3 linked regions of the Schizosaccharomyces pombe genome follow. The gene in region 1 interacts genetically with each later gene. Each region holds a gene or a part of one and is shown on either strand. Other genes may lie near its edges.

What was found.
Region 2: mutations in sod1 (region 1) and vps38 together harm fitness less than expected from each alone (positive genetic interaction), as found in Schizosaccharomyces pombe (one large-scale study listed by BioGRID).
Region 3: mutations in sod1 (region 1) and pmp20 together harm fitness less than expected from each alone (positive genetic interaction), as found in Schizosaccharomyces pombe (one large-scale study listed by BioGRID).

Annotation. Positions count from the first base shown.
Region 1 is NC_003424.3:1,001,292-1,007,422, reverse strand, and holds sod1 (superoxide dismutase Sod1), read left to right. Parts: upstream 1-3,822; 5' UTR 3,823-3,959; coding exon 3,960-4,424; 3' UTR 4,425-4,585; downstream 4,586-6,131. Other genes in the region: gamma-glutamyl phosphate reductase Pro1, read right to left, coding at 1-1,029; cell septum surface endo-1,3-beta-glucanase Eng1, read right to left, coding at 5,420-6,131. UniProt on the Schizosaccharomyces pombe protein: Destroys radicals which are normally produced within the cells and which are toxic to biological systems.
Region 2 is NC_003423.3:1,802,898-1,810,059, reverse strand, and holds vps38 (phophatidylinositol 3-kinase complex subunit Vps38), read right to left. Parts: upstream 3,830-7,162; 5' UTR 3,799-3,829; coding exon 3,562-3,798; intron 3,332-3,561; coding exon 3,161-3,331; intron 3,097-3,160; coding exon 2,080-3,096; 3' UTR 1,743-2,079; downstream 1-1,742. Other genes in the region: arrestin-related substrate adaptor Any1, read left to right, coding at 573-1,658; SPOM_SPBC18H10.18C (uncharacterized protein), read left to right, coding at 6,931-7,162. UniProt on the Schizosaccharomyces pombe protein: Involved in endosome-to-Golgi retrograde transport as part of the vps34 PI3-kinase complex II. Mediates the interaction between atg6 and the pik3-ppk19 core complex, leading to the recruitment of atg6 to the membrane.
Region 3 is NC_003421.2:116,104-122,231, forward strand, and holds pmp20 (thioredoxin-related chaperone Pmp20), read right to left. Parts: upstream 2,897-6,128; 5' UTR 2,791-2,896; coding exon 2,320-2,790; 3' UTR 2,119-2,319; downstream 1-2,118. Other genes in the region: orotidine 5'-phosphate decarboxylase Ura4, read right to left, coding at 1-472; protein new25, read right to left, coding at 1,475-1,744; SPOM_SPCC330.07C (transporter), read right to left, coding at 4,810-6,128. UniProt on the Schizosaccharomyces pombe protein: May act as a chaperone rather than a peroxidase. Has no thioredoxin-dependent peroxidase activity. Shows weak chaperone activity.

The sequences.
Region 1 (6,131 bases):
ATGTGTATTTATATGCTGCATTGCGGACTGTAAGGAAGGTACAGTCTTAATAGCAAGAATCAAATCAGAGAATTCAGTGTTGTAATCTTGATCGACAGATGGTTCAACTAGAGCACTAACTTTTGGCATATCCTTTAAAACCTTAAGAGAAGCGGGATCACATTTTAATGTAACTTTTGCTTCAGTTAAAGTTTCAGCAATTTTAGGAAGATGAGAAGATAAAACAGCTTCGTTAATTAACAAAGTTTCAATTGCATTACATGCTGCTGGATAATCAGTTTTTCCATCCAGAACAAGTTTACTAGCCAATTCCATATCAGCATCCTCATGGACGTACATGGAGCATAGTCCTGCAGCATGACCTAAAACAGGAATTTTTGTGTTATCTTTTATATGGCGTACAAGATTAGTGCTGCCGCGGGGAATAACCAAATCTATGTACTCATCCAATTTTAATAATTGTGATACCTCCTCGCGACTCTGAACAAGCTGCACAGCAGCCTGTGGAACCTTACTTTTGCCCAAGGCAGAGCGAACAACATTAGAAAGTGCAGCGAAAGACTTTGCTGATTCCGTGCCTCCTTTAAGTACAACAGCATTACCAGATTTGATAGCCAGGGAAGTAATATTAATGATTACTTCAGGTCTAGCTTCAAAAATGACTAGCAATAAACCTACAGGGCAAGAGACTTTATAAAGGTCCAAACCATCGTCAAGACTACGAGCATAAGTAACACGACCAAGGGGATCAGGCAAACTTTTAACATCTAAAACACCCTGTACCATGGAATCGTATTTATCAGATGAAGACAGATCCAATCTTTTAACCATCGATGAACTTAGTTTTCCTGATTCAGCCAAGAGCTTAGCTGCTTTCATATCTTCAGCATTTGCAGCTAGAACCTCTGACTTTTTTATGCGCAGTTCTTCAACTATTTTATCCAATGCATCATCACGGTCTTCCACTGATAATGTCTGTAAAATGTTAAAAGCGTTTTTCGCTTCCTTTACATTCTCTTCAAGAGACATGCTAAACAATACTTATACAACTTTGAGTAGAGGCAATTGGGAGATTTAAATCAAGCGAATTCTTATTCTTAGAATGGCTAGCTCAAAAAGACTACTTTTTGTAGTATTTTGGTTGTTTTTTCTAATGTATGAATAATGCAAGTTCGTGATTTATTTAACACCCTTCAAGTAACAAAATCAAGCATTGTTACTTTACATTAAGCATAACTAAGATTTCTGAAAGATACGAAATCATGGAAAGTGAGAGTACTTCTGCAGTTAACTAAAAATATTTTGCAACCTCAAGAACAGTTAGTGTTATATTTTCAGTTTTTGTTTTTCCGTTACTATATATAGTAGCCTTACTTTTCACTTTTCACGTAGTGCAAGAATTATGCTTGTAAACAAAAGACTAAAAAATGAGCAACTGGGTATCTTCGGTTAAGAAATACAAAGATACTAATTTTAAAGTGTGCTTTGTATATTCCATAGAGAATTTGGATTATTACACACTTCGTATTTCTCATGAATAAATTATAGTCATATCGTAAAAGCAAAAACATTTATTAGCATGGTGTCCAGTTATTACTGAATCAATTTGATCTAGTTGTTTTTAATTCAAATTAAAGATGCTTCTAGTTGAAATGCACAGCTCAACAAACAAAATTGTTTGTTCATCTTTTCGGGAAAACATCCTTCAATATAGAGTATCGCTAACGGTTGTAATTGAATTGTTTACAATGGCTGATCAAACTGTTCATTAATATAGTACTTTTTTTTTAATTTGAACGCAATTACTTTGAATTTAATTCCATATTTGCAAAGTTCATCTTGCCTTACAGTTTCACAATTGTCCCCCAAGTCGACAATTTATAGAATCAGAAAGAAATACTTTGCTTCAAAAAAAATCGATAAATTATTAATCTGGGTGTATAGTATTTCATTTGTTTACTTTCAATAACAACATATTTAAGGCTCTGTAGCTATGCTTGATTGTACAGCAGTGAATCACATCAAGGTTTTTCCATACACTAACAGAAAATTCTTGACTACCTCTCCAAAGTCAAGTTGTACAAATCATGAGCATAAATCGCACACATTCTACTCATCAATCCCATTGCCAAGAGTTAAAGTATTTTGAGGATATGCGTTATTAAGTGTATCGTGTAAGCTACGCAGTTTGGTATCTGATTTAAGGATACGAAGAACTGCGGTGAGTTTTCCTTGTGGTCTATTATATTACAATACACAGGTTGTATAAGTAGCAACTGAGTATAGGTATTGTATTAACTGGGCTATAATGTTACCTATCACTAATATAGCTCATAACTGAACTGAGGAACGAGGTTCAGTTGTAACGCTATTTATAATATTTCTAAATAGTTGTTATCAACGGGTATCTATGTATATAGACGGATAGTTACCCGTGATTATCAATAAACGGATCTTAGCTAGTATTCCAACATATGACATATAGTGATACGCAACGTAGTGTATCATAGCGTAGTGTAGTATTGCTGACATATCGTAATGTACCCAATTACGGTAGAATGATTAAGAGAATTGTATTTAGGAATATACCGCCTTTAGTATTATGCGAAACGCTATTTTTTGTAATGAGCCATTTCTTTCGCGCACTAGCAAAATAGTCTCATATTGCTACTTCACGAATAGCAAAAATAAGTCATATAAAATAAGTAGCTCAAGGTAATTACTGTTTTCGGCATAATACTTTATACATCTTGGCAAATTTCTTATATAAACAGCGTCCCCCTCAGAGAACTTTTTCTGTTTTCTACCAAAATAATATGTAGGTAGATCGATGGATAGAAGCGATTAACGTATTTGCAAAACAGATCATCAGGATTTTTTTTAACTCCAAAATAACCATAGTGTCACTCGCTTCCTAGTACAAAGCATTACTATGGTTATGTTATTTTATTTTTTAAAAGCTCAATGATATTATCAGCAGTTGTACTTGCGATTCTTTCTCAAAAATGCATACTGAGAGGTTTGTTCATTATGGGAAAATTATGAGTTCACGAATATTTCTTTCTAGAGCGAATTTTATTATCCTCCTCACGTCGATTGAAGCTTCATAACAATTTGACTGTTACAAGCGATTGCTCCTAACAACTTCCGTGAACGAACGGGCTTTGCAAGTCTACCGACCGGCCTTAGGCTCTTCACACCTAGACTCAAAACGCTAATCTATATACATGTAGGACTTTTATTCTGCGAACTCTAGTGGGATTTACTGAACCAAATGGGGGTTTGATATTTTAGCTAGTCTATGCATTTGAATCTCTATGCAATGTTTGTCTACTCAAGTTTCCCTTTCTTTGAAGATCTTTACCCCCATTAGCGACCTTACTTCAACGTGGTCATTCTTACCTTACGCTAAATGTTTTAACGTCTACGAAAACGAGAACGACGATTGCTATTACCGCAACTTTAGATATCGTTATTTATTCTTCGAGTGGCGCGTTATCATCTTTAGCGGAATTTCAATTCCGCGAAGGAGCACGTAATATGATTACGAATACTGGTGGAGTAAGCCAACGCCAAGCTGAGGTGATGCTCGGCGTAGCTTATTGGCCTATTTTGGAGGCTCGAAGGCACGGACTAGACAATGCTTTGTAAAGCAAATTTGTTAAATCGATAAGTATAAAGACAATTTCTTCGTTTTTAGAATATAAAAAAACATTGGTCATATCGAAAAATTGATTTGAGTTGATATCGTTAAAATTTCATGTATATTCCGCGTGGAGCTATTTACTATATAAGCGATGACACGCCGCCCTATCCTCTTCCAATTCCAAACAAAATTTTCGAAATCTCCAACTTTGAAGTGTGGTTAAAATCTTATTGATTTTCCTTCAAAACACTTAATTACTCAAAACACCCCTTCTCTTGTTGTATTTTTTTAAAGTAAATTATCGTCATACAAAATGGTTAGAGCTGTAGCAGTTCTTCGTGGTGACTCTAAGGTCAGTGGTGTCGTTACTTTTGAACAAGTCGATCAAAACTCTCAAGTTTCTGTGATTGTGGATCTCGTTGGCAATGACGCTAATGCCAAGCGTGGTTTCCATATTCACCAATTCGGTGATAATACCAACGGTTGTACCTCTGCTGGTCCTCACTTTAACCCAGAGGGTAAGACTCACGGTGACCGTACCGCCGCTGTTCGTCACGTTGGTGATCTTGGTAACTTGGAAAGCGATGCTCAGGGCAACATCAAGACTACTTTCTCTGATTCTGTTATCTCATTGTTTGGTGCCAACAGCATCATTGGCCGTACCATTGTCATTCATGCCGGTGAGGATGATCTTGGTAAGGGTACTAGTGAAGAGTCTTTGAAGACTGGTAACGCTGGTGCACGTAACGCTTGTGGTGTCATTGGTATTGCCGTCTAAATTTATTGAGTTTTTACGTCTTTTTGTTCAAATGGCTGTGGGTTTAGGTGTTGGTTAGTATTGTTATCATTTAGTTGAGTGATCTCAAATTTCTTTTTTTTTATGAAAAGTTCCGTATATTATGCTTCTATAGGTTCTGTATTAAAAAACTTAATTTAATTGATGATGATAAGTACTGTAGCTTTGTGGAAGCTGTTTGTTACTATTATGTTATATGTGTAAAAAAATGTAGTGATGTATTTTTGTCCTTAAGACTCTGCGTTCGAGTTTACATAAAATTCAGTTAATTAGAAGGAATTGTTGTAACTTTGTTTCGGTATTGATAATGAAGAAGCAAAAGCAGCAACAATTTTTGATCTTTTAGTCAGAAAACTTTGTTTTGCATCGTTGAGTTCGTGCATAAAGATGATAGAAAGTGCTTTTCGTATTGTTTAAAAAAAGATATATAGAATGTTGATTAATAGATACACACATAGTAGCAATATCAACACATCTTGTTAAAATTCTAATGGGTGAAGCCTTTTTTTTTATTAATCATAATACCATCGTTTCATCTTTGTTGATTTTGTTATTACTTTTACGTATCAATGAATTTTTACGAACTAATTTCAACTAAACAATAACGACAGGCAAGTTTGTGTAAACTGAAAACATCTGCACAAGTTGTATTTTAAAATAAATTTTATTCTATAAGTCTAAAGGTTCACATCCAGTGTGAACAATTAATAAAATAAGTGGTTAAATAATAACCAACTAATTCAAAAAGATGCAAAAAAGAAAAACTCAGCAAGAATAATTTTAATAAATTGATCTCTAAGCCGGCCTAGACGATATCCAAAAAGGGTTTCAAGTTGAGAGTAGTTCACGTTCCAGACGTGTATTATGAACAAAATGTAGTTTTTTAAATAGTTTGAAAACATACAAGCAATAAGTATAGTACATCTGAAGAAATCCAAAAAAGCACCTCGCAATACAATTCCGGACTTTGGTCATGCTTAAGCAGCAACAAGTGCACCATTGGAGCAACCGTATATAGAGGAGTCATAGCACGCATTACCACAAGCTAACAATGGAGACCCATTTATAATGGGACACAGTATATTGCCATAACAAATATAACTTTGTGAATCATACCAAGCTGATCCACATTGGGCTATCACATTAGTGGATGTAGCAGATGTAGTAGTAGGTGTAGGTGTAGTAGTTGTGGTAGGTGTAGGTGTGAAAGTTGTAGTAGCTTTTGTTGTTGTAACAGTGTTTGGAGACAAAGAACCATCAGAACAAACATATTGGGAAGGATTATAGCATGCACCATTACAACTCAAGTAATCCACTCCGTCTATTATAGGACATAACTGATCATTGTCACAATAATAAGAGGATGCGTCGTAGTAGTTAGAGCCACATAGTTGCATGCCAGTTGACTGTGCGGTAGTAGTTGTTGAAGTTGTAGTAGGTGTGGGTGTTATTGAGGAAGTAGTTGTGGGAGTAGGCGTAATGGAGGAAGTGGTCGATGAAGATTGAACAGGGCCCAAAGCTCCATTGTCGCAGCCATATTGCGAAGGGTTATAGCAAGCTCCGTTGCAGTTTTGATATGATACACCATTAACAATAGGGCAGAGTACAGTTCCGTCGCATACATACAAACTTGCATCAAACGTAGCACCATTACAAGTACCAGAGATGCTTGTAGTAGTAGGAGTCGAA
Region 2 (7,162 bases), on another chromosome or scaffold:
CAGTCTGCTATTTTTTTTTAATTAGCTTGTTCTTACACATTTTTGGGTTGATAATTCACATGAGATTTTGAATTATTAAAACAAAAACATCATCACTAAGGGAGACATAAAGCAAACTCATAAAGTTCCTTTGTTCAGCTTTTTTGTTACCTTACATCCCTGTGTTAAATTCAAGTCGGTTTACTTCTTTCTCATCAATTGGATTACTATTACTTTCTACGGAAGAAGAATAGGTATAAATCATCTTCAAAAAAATTTGGATAATAGGCGAAAGAAAAAAGTCGTTGGTTGTTTGGTTTAACGACTTTTTTTCTTATTTCCATACTTCGTTAATTCTTTCTTCTCTTTAATTTCCTGGTGGGTTTTTCCTTTTCACATTTTTTAAGTTCAATTTAGCAGTGTTCTTCCACTGTAGGGTTTGGTTTTTTTAGGTGTACTTGGCATTTTTACACACATTATTTTATTCCTGGTTTATCATTTCATACTGGTAATTTTTTTTAAAAAATTTTCCATTTCTATTTTTTTTTCCATTCCTTTGTTTTACCGACAAACGCTTAGATTTTCTTATTACTATGCCATTAAAACTTGCACTACCTCGTTCAACCACGCCAAAAGACCCTGCTCGCTGTACGTTAGATATACGTATGGAATCACCGCCGCTGGTATTCCTTGGCTCGCCGGAAACGTCTAGTGGTGCACTTGCGTCTGGCATTTTAAAACTGACGATTTTACATCAACCTTTTATTAAAGTACATACCCTCAAGCTGCAACTCATAAAAAGGATCACCGTTCTTCATCCTGCAATCTCTCATTGTTCTGCTTGTGCGGGTTCAAAAGAGGTTTTACAGACTTGGGATTTAGCTGCAAATACCACATATAGACCTGGTACTCAGCATTGGCCTTTTAGTTGGCTTTTCCCTGGTTCGCTTCCTGCTTCGGTTTCTAACAGATACATCAAGCTTGAGTATTATTTAGAAGCTACGTTATGCTATGGTACTCCTGAAGGCGGAATTTCTCCCTCGAAGCCCGAAGTTCTTAAGTTTCCTCTCCAACTAAAGCGAGCTGCCATTCCTTCGCCTGATACCATCCATAAACGTATCTTTCCCCCTACGAATCTTGTTGCAAACATTACTTTGCCCAGTACCTTGCATCCTCATGGAGCTGCGCTTATGGAAGTTACCATGACTGGTTTTGCCCAAAATGACGGCAACGATTGGAAGATCAATAGAGTTACTTGGAGATTGGAGGAGCATATGCAGTTTAGTTGTCAACCATGTGAACGCCATCGTGATTTGGTAAAACCTCGACCTATTGAAGAAAAAAGAATTTTGAGTACACAAGATTTACAATCGGGATGGAAGTTCATTGATAATCAGATGTTTCTATCTACTCAAATTAACACATCTTCTTTAAGAGAGCCAAGCTGTGACGTGGAAATTCCTGCCCCTTTTTCCTTAAAAGTCTCTCATCATTTAATTTTTGAGACCATTGTTAATAGAAAAAAGAACGTTGCGGGAAACAATATGGGCAATGCCCGTATCTTACGAGTATCAGTCGTTCAGCCACTTACCACGCCAGCTGGTTTAGGTATTAGTTGGGATGAAGAATGCCCGCCAGTTTTTGAAAGTGTAGGACCCGCTCCGCCTGCCTATACCTAGAATATGTGGGTCGGATGTAACCGGAAGAGCTCGATCACCATCACATAACTATCAAAAAATGAACATGGCTCTTTTTATTTTTTAATTCACAAGTTTTATTAATTTAAGGGAACTATTTATAATATCTACATTCATCATTATCTGTTTATTTTTATATTTTAAACGTAAATGCATTGTATAGTAGTTGTCGCAATGACAATGAGTAATATGCCTTCGGCAAATGTCCATAAAAACTCTTCATTAAGATGATTAAAATTAAACCGTGAAATGGGTATATGAATTTCCAACAAAGAATACGAAAACGAAATTGATTGTTGAGAGTAAACTAGGGTGAAAAGATACAATTAAACGATAGACAAGTTATGCGTAGTTTTGCAATTAACGATAATTTAGGCTTATGGTGCCTAAGCTTATGGAATTGTTAAGGAGCGGTAGACGTTACTTGTACAAAAGATAGATGTTGTCCTGATAAAATAAATTGGAGCAGTTTTTTAAAGTTCCTGAGTATGTCCATGGATTGGTCAATAGGTAATCCAAAAGTTTCTAAAAAATCATTTACATCCTGGTTGAGAAGATAAATGGCATGTTCAAAAAGCTCAATTGGTCGAGTTGCTGGATAAAGGGGAAAGATACGCGTGGGGATGTCGGGTGTCAATGTATCCAGGATGGAGGATCTCGAAGATGCGCAAAGAATTGGATAAGCGAGTTCTTTTTCGAGATACTTTGAAAGAGTTTGAAGTAAATGCGCCAAAAATCCTATGGAAGCAGCCATTTCCACATTATTAATTTTATCTGGCTCAAAAGATAGGCGGAGATTGCGAATTGTAAACTCGTCATGATTGCCAGGCGATGGTTGGATTGGGTAAATTTTGGAAAGATGGGAAACGTGCATACGAATAGCATGTGCCATAAGGATTCGAATCTCTATATTGGTCTCTACTTTTGTTTTTAAAGAATTGGCAAGTTCCACATACTCAGCTTCATCTTTTTGAAGGGATTCTTTGGATTTGTTCAAAGTGTTCCTTTTTGAGGATAACCAGCTTTTCGTCTTGTCAAATTTCGTCCTCATCTGAGTGATGCTATTAATTTGTTTTTGCCAAAGATGTTCTAATTTAGCCAGTTCATCGATTTTTTCATCCCGAAGTAACATCCTTTTGTGCATCAAACGTATCTGCTGAAACTCCTCCTCCTGAAAATGAGCTCGAATTTCATGTTTAGCAATGTGCATTTCATCTATGCATTCAGCCAGTTTCAAAATTCGAGTGATTTTCTGAATAGTGTAACCATCCTTCCGCCTGTCTATAGAATATGTGGAGGCACTTTTTGGAAAGGAGGTCTGTCTCATAATATCCGAAGACTGGGATGTTGTGTAGATGTAAACGCCATCATTAAATTCACATAAAAGACCGTTTCGAATATGACAAACTGCAAAAACAGGCTACAAATAATATGTTAGTCAACACAAGGGAAACATAAGGTAAACCAAAAATATTCAACCGTACATCATTACCAATATAACGAAAATTACTGTCATATCTCAAAATTTTCCATTCTTTATGTAGCTTGAAGGCATGACTACTTGATGAGCACCAAGTCCTCACGATAAAGTACTCTTCGTGACGGTATTTTTGAAGCTTTTCGGTTACTTTTTCATCGACGTAAAAGATGTGATTCTAATGAGAGGTTAGACACAAAGAACATAAATACATACAAAATTTGTATATGGGTAAAAGAGATACAAGGTATAAACTATCAATTGAGGGCTTTGTTTCAAGGATTTGAGCAACGAAATTTTGGCAAATCACTTGTATAAACAAACTGATTAACCTTTTCAATCAAGCAAATAACCTAGATATAATGATACCATTCAGATACTTTTGTTTATCAAAGCATGTTCACATACAGCATTTCCGCTCGTTTCAGTAATATAAACAGGCAATTTCTTACTCTGCACATGCAATGATATAAAAATACGAATAGTTCCTTCGGAAATTGCACGTTTTAACTGCACATCTCGTTTCCACAAATTTTCCGTCGTATTGATCGCAAATTTGCTATGATTTTGAATTTCTTGAACATTTCTTATTTGTATTGATTTAAGCCTGGAAAGTCGGTAGTTTCCTGGTAATTCAAGCGACATTCTATCATGGTTAAAGCAATGAATGCTTTTGCTTCATCGCATCGCCCTACTTGGTAAACTCAGCTGAGTCTGGTGCTAGCGTAGGATAACAATATACTGGTTTAGTTCGTTATTGTCAGCAATACTACACTACGCAATGATACTCCACGTTGCATATCACTATATGTCACATGTTCACAATGTTCTATTTGCTCTATCAACTATTACATGATAAGTCATCAAGATGGAGATATAATATCATTCATGATAAGATAACTATCAGATATAATTCTTACTACTTCAAATATTATAAATTGAGAACAACTGAACCTCGTCCCTCAGTTCAGTTATAAGATATATTAGTGATAGGTAACATTATAACCTAGTTAATACAATACCTATACTCAGTTGCTACTCATACAACCTGTGTATTGTAATATAATAGATCACAAGGAAAACTCACCGCAGTTCTATGTATCCTTAAATCAGATACCAAACTGCGAAGCTAACATTATATGCACTTTATTGTCAGCAGCAAGACTTCACTAAGCCCTTTTGCGTGTCATTATATGCTACCATTAATTAATTGGATTATAATACTATACATAATATAATCGTTAAATGTATTTATATTAAATTATATTTAGATAATTCTGAAACTTTGCCGTAATATATCTTATTCTTAAAGCTGGCCACTGATCCTTTAGCTCAGAACTCATTCTTTAAGGAAATTTAGTGTCTTCCGTAATGGTTGAATGAATTTAAAAAGGTTCAATAAAATAATATAGCAGAAATTAACTGTAAAGAAATTTTTTAATTGATAACTGATGTGAGTTTGAATCAATGGCGAAAATTTTTTTTTTTAATTGCTTTATTACTGTCTTCGAAAATTGATGTACTATGGCCCAGATCATTATGAGCAAGAAGGTCTGAGCCAAAAAAAAAAAAAAAAAAAAAAAAAAAAAAAGAGTAAATCAAACATTATTACCAACAAAAAAGCACGCTTTCAGTTTTTACTATTCATTTGTCCGCTGAAGAAGCACAAAAAAAAATTTGATACTTTGTTTTTGAAAACAATTTAACCATATTTACAGTCAGCAAGAAATAAAACGCAGAAGAAGTAAGTGAAATAAAAAATAATTTAGAGCAATATTATAAGCAACCGAACAGAATTGCTATGATCAAAATGGTATTTAAGAAATTTAAACAAATTCAATAGTAAACGCTGTTACATGTTGCTAAAAACATTATCGGCCAAACCAGTAGAACTTCCAGAGTGAGCTTATTTTCCTTATTATAGGTTGGACTTGCTAATGTTGTTTAAATAATTTAACTATAGATATATTCTGTAAACAATCGAAGTGTCATCAAGCCCGTCCTGAAGAAACCCGATAAAAGATCTAAAAACACAAATTAATTTACAGTCACAATAAACAAATTAAATATTTTTTAGTATGCGGCGATAATTTTCGTTAAGAAAGGAACCAGTAACAGTGGGTATTGCATATGTGCATACAATTGGAATGTGGAGATGAAATGTAAATAAAATCTGCAAACATGATAAAATGAAACTTCAAGTTATTTTATAATTTAAATCCACTTTGATTTGACTTCCGTCTGATATGTCAAACGAGGCAGAATGAACATTTGCTTTACGAGTTAGGATGAAATCCTTGTTCACGCTCTTTCGCTTCAATGTTTTCAATTCATGCAATATTGTATAATACTCTCCATTTCTTTAATTTAAAAACTGAGAAAATTTTATTGTCCAGTTAGAAGGTCTATTTACAAATGAGTGATGTGTAAACATAGAAAATGAAAGTGTAATCGATTTGGAAAGAGGTCTCTCTCTAAATGTAGCACAGATAATGGATGAACAACACCCACCTAATCGGGTAAGGATTTTAGTTAATAAGAAAAAATTGTATTATTAAAAAAGGATGTTTTGCTTTTCCATGTACGGTATGCTCACCACTAATGTGTTGATGAGTACTGTTTATAGCTGGTCGATTCGCTCAAAATATGTAAAGCATGGCACATCTTTATTTTCCTCATATATTTACGTTGGAATTCATAATTTAAGATTTTTTAGGTTCTCCAAACCGTAATGATACCTATTGAGTTGAAATAAATATCGGCAATGAGTACGTGCAGACTTAAAACTCAGAGCTTCCGTGGAGAACAGGATAATTAATTCTTTAAATCTGAAACAAGAAAATGGTGATGTTGAACAGCGGCACATATTAATTTCTATAAAAATAAACATAATGATTTTTGAATTACAAAGTATTGAATGGTAGTTACAACTGATACCTAAAAAGATATAGTAAACCTACCAAAATCTATTGAGCTCGACCAACAAATAGGAAATAGTATAAAATACAGTTCAACAGAACTAACTCGCTCCAAACCTGTTGTGGAGTTCTACAGTCTCGTTGTAAATTGCCAATAAGGTATGATTTAATGAATTATACAATTGTTTAAATGTACAGTTTGATATCTGCTTCAATTATAAGTAGGATTGCGGTGAGCTCTAATGATGATCTGTTGTATTACTAGATGTATGAATACATAGTAACCTGAGTTATTGATGTCGGTATTGTTTGTAACCTAACGCTGATATAGCTCATGGCTGAACCTCGCTCCTCAATTCAATTTTCAAGTTATAGTATTCAAAATCAGTATTATTGTTACTGGTAAATATCTTATTATAATTGGTAATTTAATATCTTGGATAAACTATTCATGCAAAACTAGTAGAGTAAATAAAACATGTAACATAATAGTAACTCGCGATGCAAAAACATTATAGCGGTCTTTAGTGTAGCCCACTGTCTAATAACTAGTGTTGCATACTTTTCAAAGTATGATAAAACGAAGCAAGGCATCGCTATTATAGCGTATTGGTACGCAGTGCCTAATTAATGCTAACTTGTGCGTAAATTGATATTGACAGCACAATGATTCAATTTCATTCCTTAACAAGAGCCATCTCTTTTTGTTGGATGCTTAGAACGCGTGGATTTTTAGGCTATTCAAGTGTTTGGTTTTGATCTATTTATCTATTTTATATTTTAATTTCGCATTTTATTTTGCAATGTTCAAGTTGGAACTCAAACGTATATAATCACTATTGGTAAAAGGCTCTTCAAAATGCCAGACGAAAAGTTACCTCAATACAATGAAGTTTGGAATGATTTGGAGAAGGGTTGTTTACATTCTTGTCCTTCATATTCAGTCAATAATCATGTAAACAATCCAATTGTCAAACAAAACTCAACATTAACACAACCATCGTTACGAAAAAAAAATACAATGGCTGCACCTGCTAGATTAAGAAAGCGTTCGGAAAATGTGCGACTTACACAAGCTAGATATGCGATAT
Region 3 (6,128 bases), on another chromosome or scaffold:
AAGAGCCTTTGGAAGACATTTCAGCCAAAAGCAAGAGACCACGTCCCAAAGGTAAACCAACTTCTTTGAGGCCTTGTATAATACCCTCGCCTGGCACTGTATGGCAATTTGTGATATGAGCCCAAGAAGCAATTTTGTACACACCAGATGCATATTGTAGCTTGACGGTATTTCCAATGTCTGCGAATTTGCGATCCTCAAAGATAAGAAAACGATGCTTTTTACCTAAGGCCACCAGTTTTTCTACCATATCCTGGTCGAAATCCTCGACAACGTCAATATGTGTCTTGATAACACAGACATAGGGTCCAATTTTATCTACCAATTCTAAGATTTCGGATTTCTTCGTCAAATCGACCGCGACTGACAAGTTGCTTTGCTTTTCTTCCATCAAAGCCAACAATTCCTTGGCAATGGGATTTTTCATCCCCTCAGCTCTAGCTGAATAGCTTTGAAATACTCTAGCATCCATAACTTTGCTTTTAAACCTTTAATTTCGATCCAAGCAAAAAAGAGGTTCTTGGTAGGACAATACGGTAAGAAAACACGACATGTGCAGAGATGCCGACGAAGCATAGTTAAACTGGGATGGTAAAATCAATTAAGAATTTATAAAGACAAAATTGTATAAGTCTCTAAAACATCTTAATTATACCTCACAGAACTATCTAAAATATATTCACAAAGTGCAAACATTATCATGAAAAAGAACCATTTTAATTTAAAGCAAGGGCATTAAGGCTTATTTACAGAATTTCTTACTTTTGTAAAGATTATAAGGCTGATTATCTTTTTCACCATGCCAAAAATTACACAAGATAGAATGGATGTTTGAAATTAAACGTGAGTATACAAACAAATACACTAGGTAAATCGAAACATTTTTTTCTCCATTAAGTAACAAATTCCTATTTAGAGAAAGAATGCTGAGTAGATTAAATAATCTATACAAACTTTTTTAACACAAATGCATACATATAGCCAGTGGGATTTGTAGCTAAGCTTCAGGAGTTTTATCCATTTAATGTATGGAATCAAAATTTAAAGCTTCTGTCAAAGTTTAACAATATTTCTTTTGGTTTAAATCAAATCTTCCATGCGATTAAGAAGATAGATGCTGAACAAAAGAAGCACATGGATAACCACAAAAGCAGTTTGCTCATGGGTACAACCATGAATTTTTTTTTCGACAATGATTCAAAGACCAGTATATCCAATACGCATCCTAGAATCTAGTCAAAGAAGAACCTAAAGTAGAGATGCAAATGCGCTAAAAAGAGTGGATATAAATTCAATATCATTTATAAAACAACTTCTTCCATTAAAAATTCCTTGGGCAAAACAAAAGTTCCAATCATAAAAAGTTAATAAGTTCTGAGTTGTGTCAAATCTGACATGGCATTCCTCAATAATGACACTCACTCATTATGTAAGCATCGAAAACATATTAAAATCTATACAAGCTGTTTTGTCATTACGGTCTGGCATCAACTTTTTTAGAGGCGGTACGAAGATGATTTTGCACACGGATAACCAATTCTTCATGAGATCCGCTAGTTTTAAGTGAATTTTTTTTACAATACTCAATTAACTGTTTTTTTGACCATTGACTAGGAGGACTTTGAGAAATGGAGGATGAAGCTGTCTCCCTGGAATTGTCTGTGATAGGACTAACTACAACCGCCAGGGAAGAAGCAGCAATAATTGCAGCAAACGATAAAGTTAAGACATTAGCTATTTTCATCGAAGATGAAATACAAATGAGTAAAAAGAACCCAAAAATGAAAACTGTTATTAAAAAGGAGATTTTGAAAATTTAAAGGTTGAGGTAAAGAACGGTTGTAGAAGACGAGCATCTAGAGGAAGACGCCCCCAACTGTGGCCAACGTTTTTCATTACCCAAATTCATCTGACATTGATTATGATACATTGAAGGTGTGCTTACATCTTTCTAGTCATTATTTTGATACCACCACTTAGAATATCCATTTCAACTTCTACCGATTTTCAATCGTGTTACGAAAACTTATTGTAATCGATTCAACGTTTTACTTGACATTAATTTTTTAAGCATATCTACTTTCTTATAAAGAATTGTACTAGTACTCAAACAATGAGTTGTTAAGATAATTGTGTATAAAATTTCATAAATCTAAACATATATCATCACAATGACAAAAAAAACTCAAATATGGAGTGCTTTATCTCCATCATTTCAAACGCCCTTAAATAAGGAGCTTATCTTTTTGATTCTAAGTTTCGTTCATTAAAGGAAAAAAACATTCCCATCAAAACAATTAGTACAACAGTTCATCAGATTTAAAGAGAGCTAAGGACCTTGTCAGCGGAGGAAATATCAACATCGGTGACCTCGTTCTCAATGAAAACCTTGACAACCTTGCCATTCTCGACAACAGCGGCATAACGCTTGGAGCGAAGAGGGCCCAAAAGACCGCTAGCGTCGAAGCCAGCATCAAAGGCCTTGGTAAACTCTCCGTTCCAGTCGGCGACAAAGTGAACACCACTTTGCTCACCACCGTCGAAAGACTTCTTCCAAGCCTTGGTGACGAAAACGTCATTTACGGCAACGACATAGATTCCGCTGATGCCCTTGGCAGCAAATTGCTTCTCATTTGCAATATAGCCAGGAACTTGAGAAGAACAAGGAGGAGTGAAAGCGCCGGGAACACCGACAATGATGAATTTGCCTTGAGAAGGGAATTCAACAACCTCTTCGGGCTTGTTTTCCCAAAGAGTAACTTTAGGCAAAGTAGATCCGACAGCAACCATTTTTAATAGTAGTAATAAATTTGTGTAAAAGTTAAAGCAAGTGGTATAAAATCTTTAGGAGTAACGGCGTATTCAAAAAATGTCGTTCAAGTTTAAAGATAGTATTATCAAGACAAATGGGCACATGTCGTTAATATATATACCTTTCTACAAAAACGAATCTTTTGGTGACGTCAAATCACCAAATTTGTCGGGATGGAAGATTTTTTTTCTTTACTGTTCTTCATCTTTGTATGAAGAGCTTTGTGGGCTGCGAGTGGTGGAAAATCCCAACCGGCACTGAGACCGCGCACAGCTGCGTTTTCAATGGTTCGTGCGATATTCGGTATTTGACTGTTGTAAAAAGGCAAGAAACGCTGAGACAAAGTGTTTACTAGACAGCCATTTTTATTAAAAAGAAAAAGAAAATGGCAATAGAGAAGATTACGTTATCGGGTAGTATGCATGCCCGGGTGTTAATTATTCCTTTGAAATTTTGAATTTTTAAGGTTTTAACGAAGTGATGATGTTTTTCTTGTTTAATTTTCACATCAATATCAGCAGTAACGTTAAGAAAAAAGTTTGATTCATTTTCAAGGTTGTTTAATTGCTTTCAAGAAAGTCACTGTAGTTTCCCCTCTAAAATAGGTGAGAAATTTTCATCAAATTCGATTCATCACTTCCTGCACCTCTCGGAACTGTAGATACCTTTTCAAAATTTATTGCTCACGATTTGCTTTGCGGTATCTATGAACAGATAAATGGCGCAAACCCCGACGTGGTATAACGAACCGCAAATTTTTGAGTCCTCGAATTCATTTACGAATTAGAAATGTTAACACAAAGACCACACTTGTGTTCGTCAAATCAATTTTCCGTGGTATTGCGACACAATTAGCCAGTGCTATGAATAGAGCGAGAAAGGTGGAAAAATTGACAAACGCGTCTCACGCATCAATTGCTCGTCAAAATCTCTCTAAAAAATTTTAAAAAGAGTATTAAAATATATTGAAACGTTGTGAAAAATTTATTTTATAGCTAATACTCAAATATCACGATTTTACCGCTTCTACCATCTGACTGGTAATTGATAAGTACGTATACAAACACATTCCACGTGTCTATTCAGCAATTATTTAAGGTACAGTAAAGATGCAAAATATCGTACGTACTGCATCGCTATAAGTTTTAACAAGGACTATTACATCACAAAAGACATTAATGGTAAGCTAAGTGTCTATGTTTATACGATTTACCGAACTAGAAGGTAGGATGAATTTGGGTTTCCTAAGAGTTATTATATACAAATACATCAGTGCAATAATAATGAAGTATATCAGTAGCAAAGGATGGATTTGGGAAAACGGATGTGGAATAGTGAATTTTCGAAAGTAATCCTTTTTCATTGTAGCTAACATTTTGTTCTTCTCCCTTTCTCATGATGCAAGTAACGGAGTTAGATGTTTAGAATCTCATTTTCTTTTTCCAAAGAACGATTAACGGAAAATTCAAAGGTTTTGTACGTTTAATCATTAATAAAAAAAAAATAATAATAATAATGATAATAATATAAACTATTACCTAGTAAAAAAATACATACGATAAGAATTGTAGTGAAATATGAAAATGAATTTTTTATTAATTTAGATTTTTTAAAGATTAAACTCATTGAATCATATTAAGCATAAAAAGACTGGTTTTTTTAATATTTCAATTTTTTTGCATAAATTTGTTTTACATAGATTTTTTAAATTGTATTTTTCTAGATATTAGTCCTATGGGATTGGAAAGCCCAACATTAAATGGATAAAAATCATATGTCAAATACATTCCGATGGAATCTCATTTGAATATTTGTTCAATACCAAATAACAAACAAATAGGGAGAATTAAAAATCAAAAATAGCTTCTTGGTATTCATTAAAGTTTCAAGGTTTCATAGGTTATTAAGCCGATTTCCAAAAAAAAAAAAAATTAGCTTTTCTAAATAAAAATTGTCGATCGCTCACCAGCATTTATAATCATGGCTAGGATCTTTGCTTAATGTGTTTTGCATTTCAAGGATCCCCACATAAAGATTAATTGCATGTATACAACTGCTGCTAATCCTAGGCAAAGCGAAATGAAACCAACTGTGGTTATATTATAAATCGCACCACCACAAATGGAGCCAAAAGTATTGGACAAAGACACTCCTACTTGTACGACTATGCTGGCGGTATTATGATGCCTTGGATGCAACTGTTTGGACGAAAGGGAAATTAGAGGCGCAGATCCAATGCTATAGCCATAAATCATCAACGAATACAAGAAAAAATAAACTTGCATGGGTAGCTTGTGAACTGCATCTAATACTAGATGAATGGCTACTGCCAAAATTCCCAAGAATAGGCCTCCCAACATGATGTGTCGGTCTTCGAGCCATCGAGACAAAAATGAACTCGCTAGAATAAAAGGTGCCACGATTAATGCGGATAATGCTATAAAATTTCCTGATTGAAAAGCATCGTAATTATAAAGTTTTCCTGTGTAAATGGAAATACTAGCTTGGTAGCCGTTCACGGTAAAGTATGCTATAAATGCCACTTCCGCTAAAAAGAAAAGCAAAAATTTATGTTTCCAACTCAACTTTGGCCTGTCCTCATCATCATTTTCTTTTTGTTGTGAAACTTTTTCGCTTTTGTCAGCCGTTACCTCTTTGAAGAAGAATATGATAGTTAGCATATAAAAAAACCACATAAACAACATGACCCATGATGCCACTGTGTACTGATTCCAAACAGCGTTCTTTGAATGAATTGTCGCTTTTGCTAATATACCTCCAAGGAAGGGACCTGCCATGAATCCTAAGGTCTGCGCTAAGATGTTCATTGTTGCCAAGAATGTTCGACGATTTTGTCCGACGAGCAACTTATCTGTTGTATATTTTTTGTGATATAAGAAGGTAGTGAACCCAATACCGTTCAGCATTCGCCCGATTAGAATTAGATAGATCCAATTGGCACGATATGCCATGCAATAAAGTAAATGGCCAAAAATGTGAGCAAACGAAGATACTACCATTGGTCGGAAGTACAGAGTATAACCGTTAGCCGACTTTGGGTTTGCAAAGCAAAGCATGGGATAAAGAAATATTAACGAAATTAAAGTGGGAATCCCAATTACCAAACCTGAAAATGCATTTGTACCACCAAGGCTTTGAGTGTAAGAGGCCGACGTGGGTAAGGCCACAGCCAAGGACATATCGGACATTAAGCTGTTAATCAATATGAACGCAATGGATACCTTTGGGGGCAGTTTGTTGGCATTTTCGTCTACAGGATAAGTTGGAACAAGACTTGAACGATTACTCTGAAATG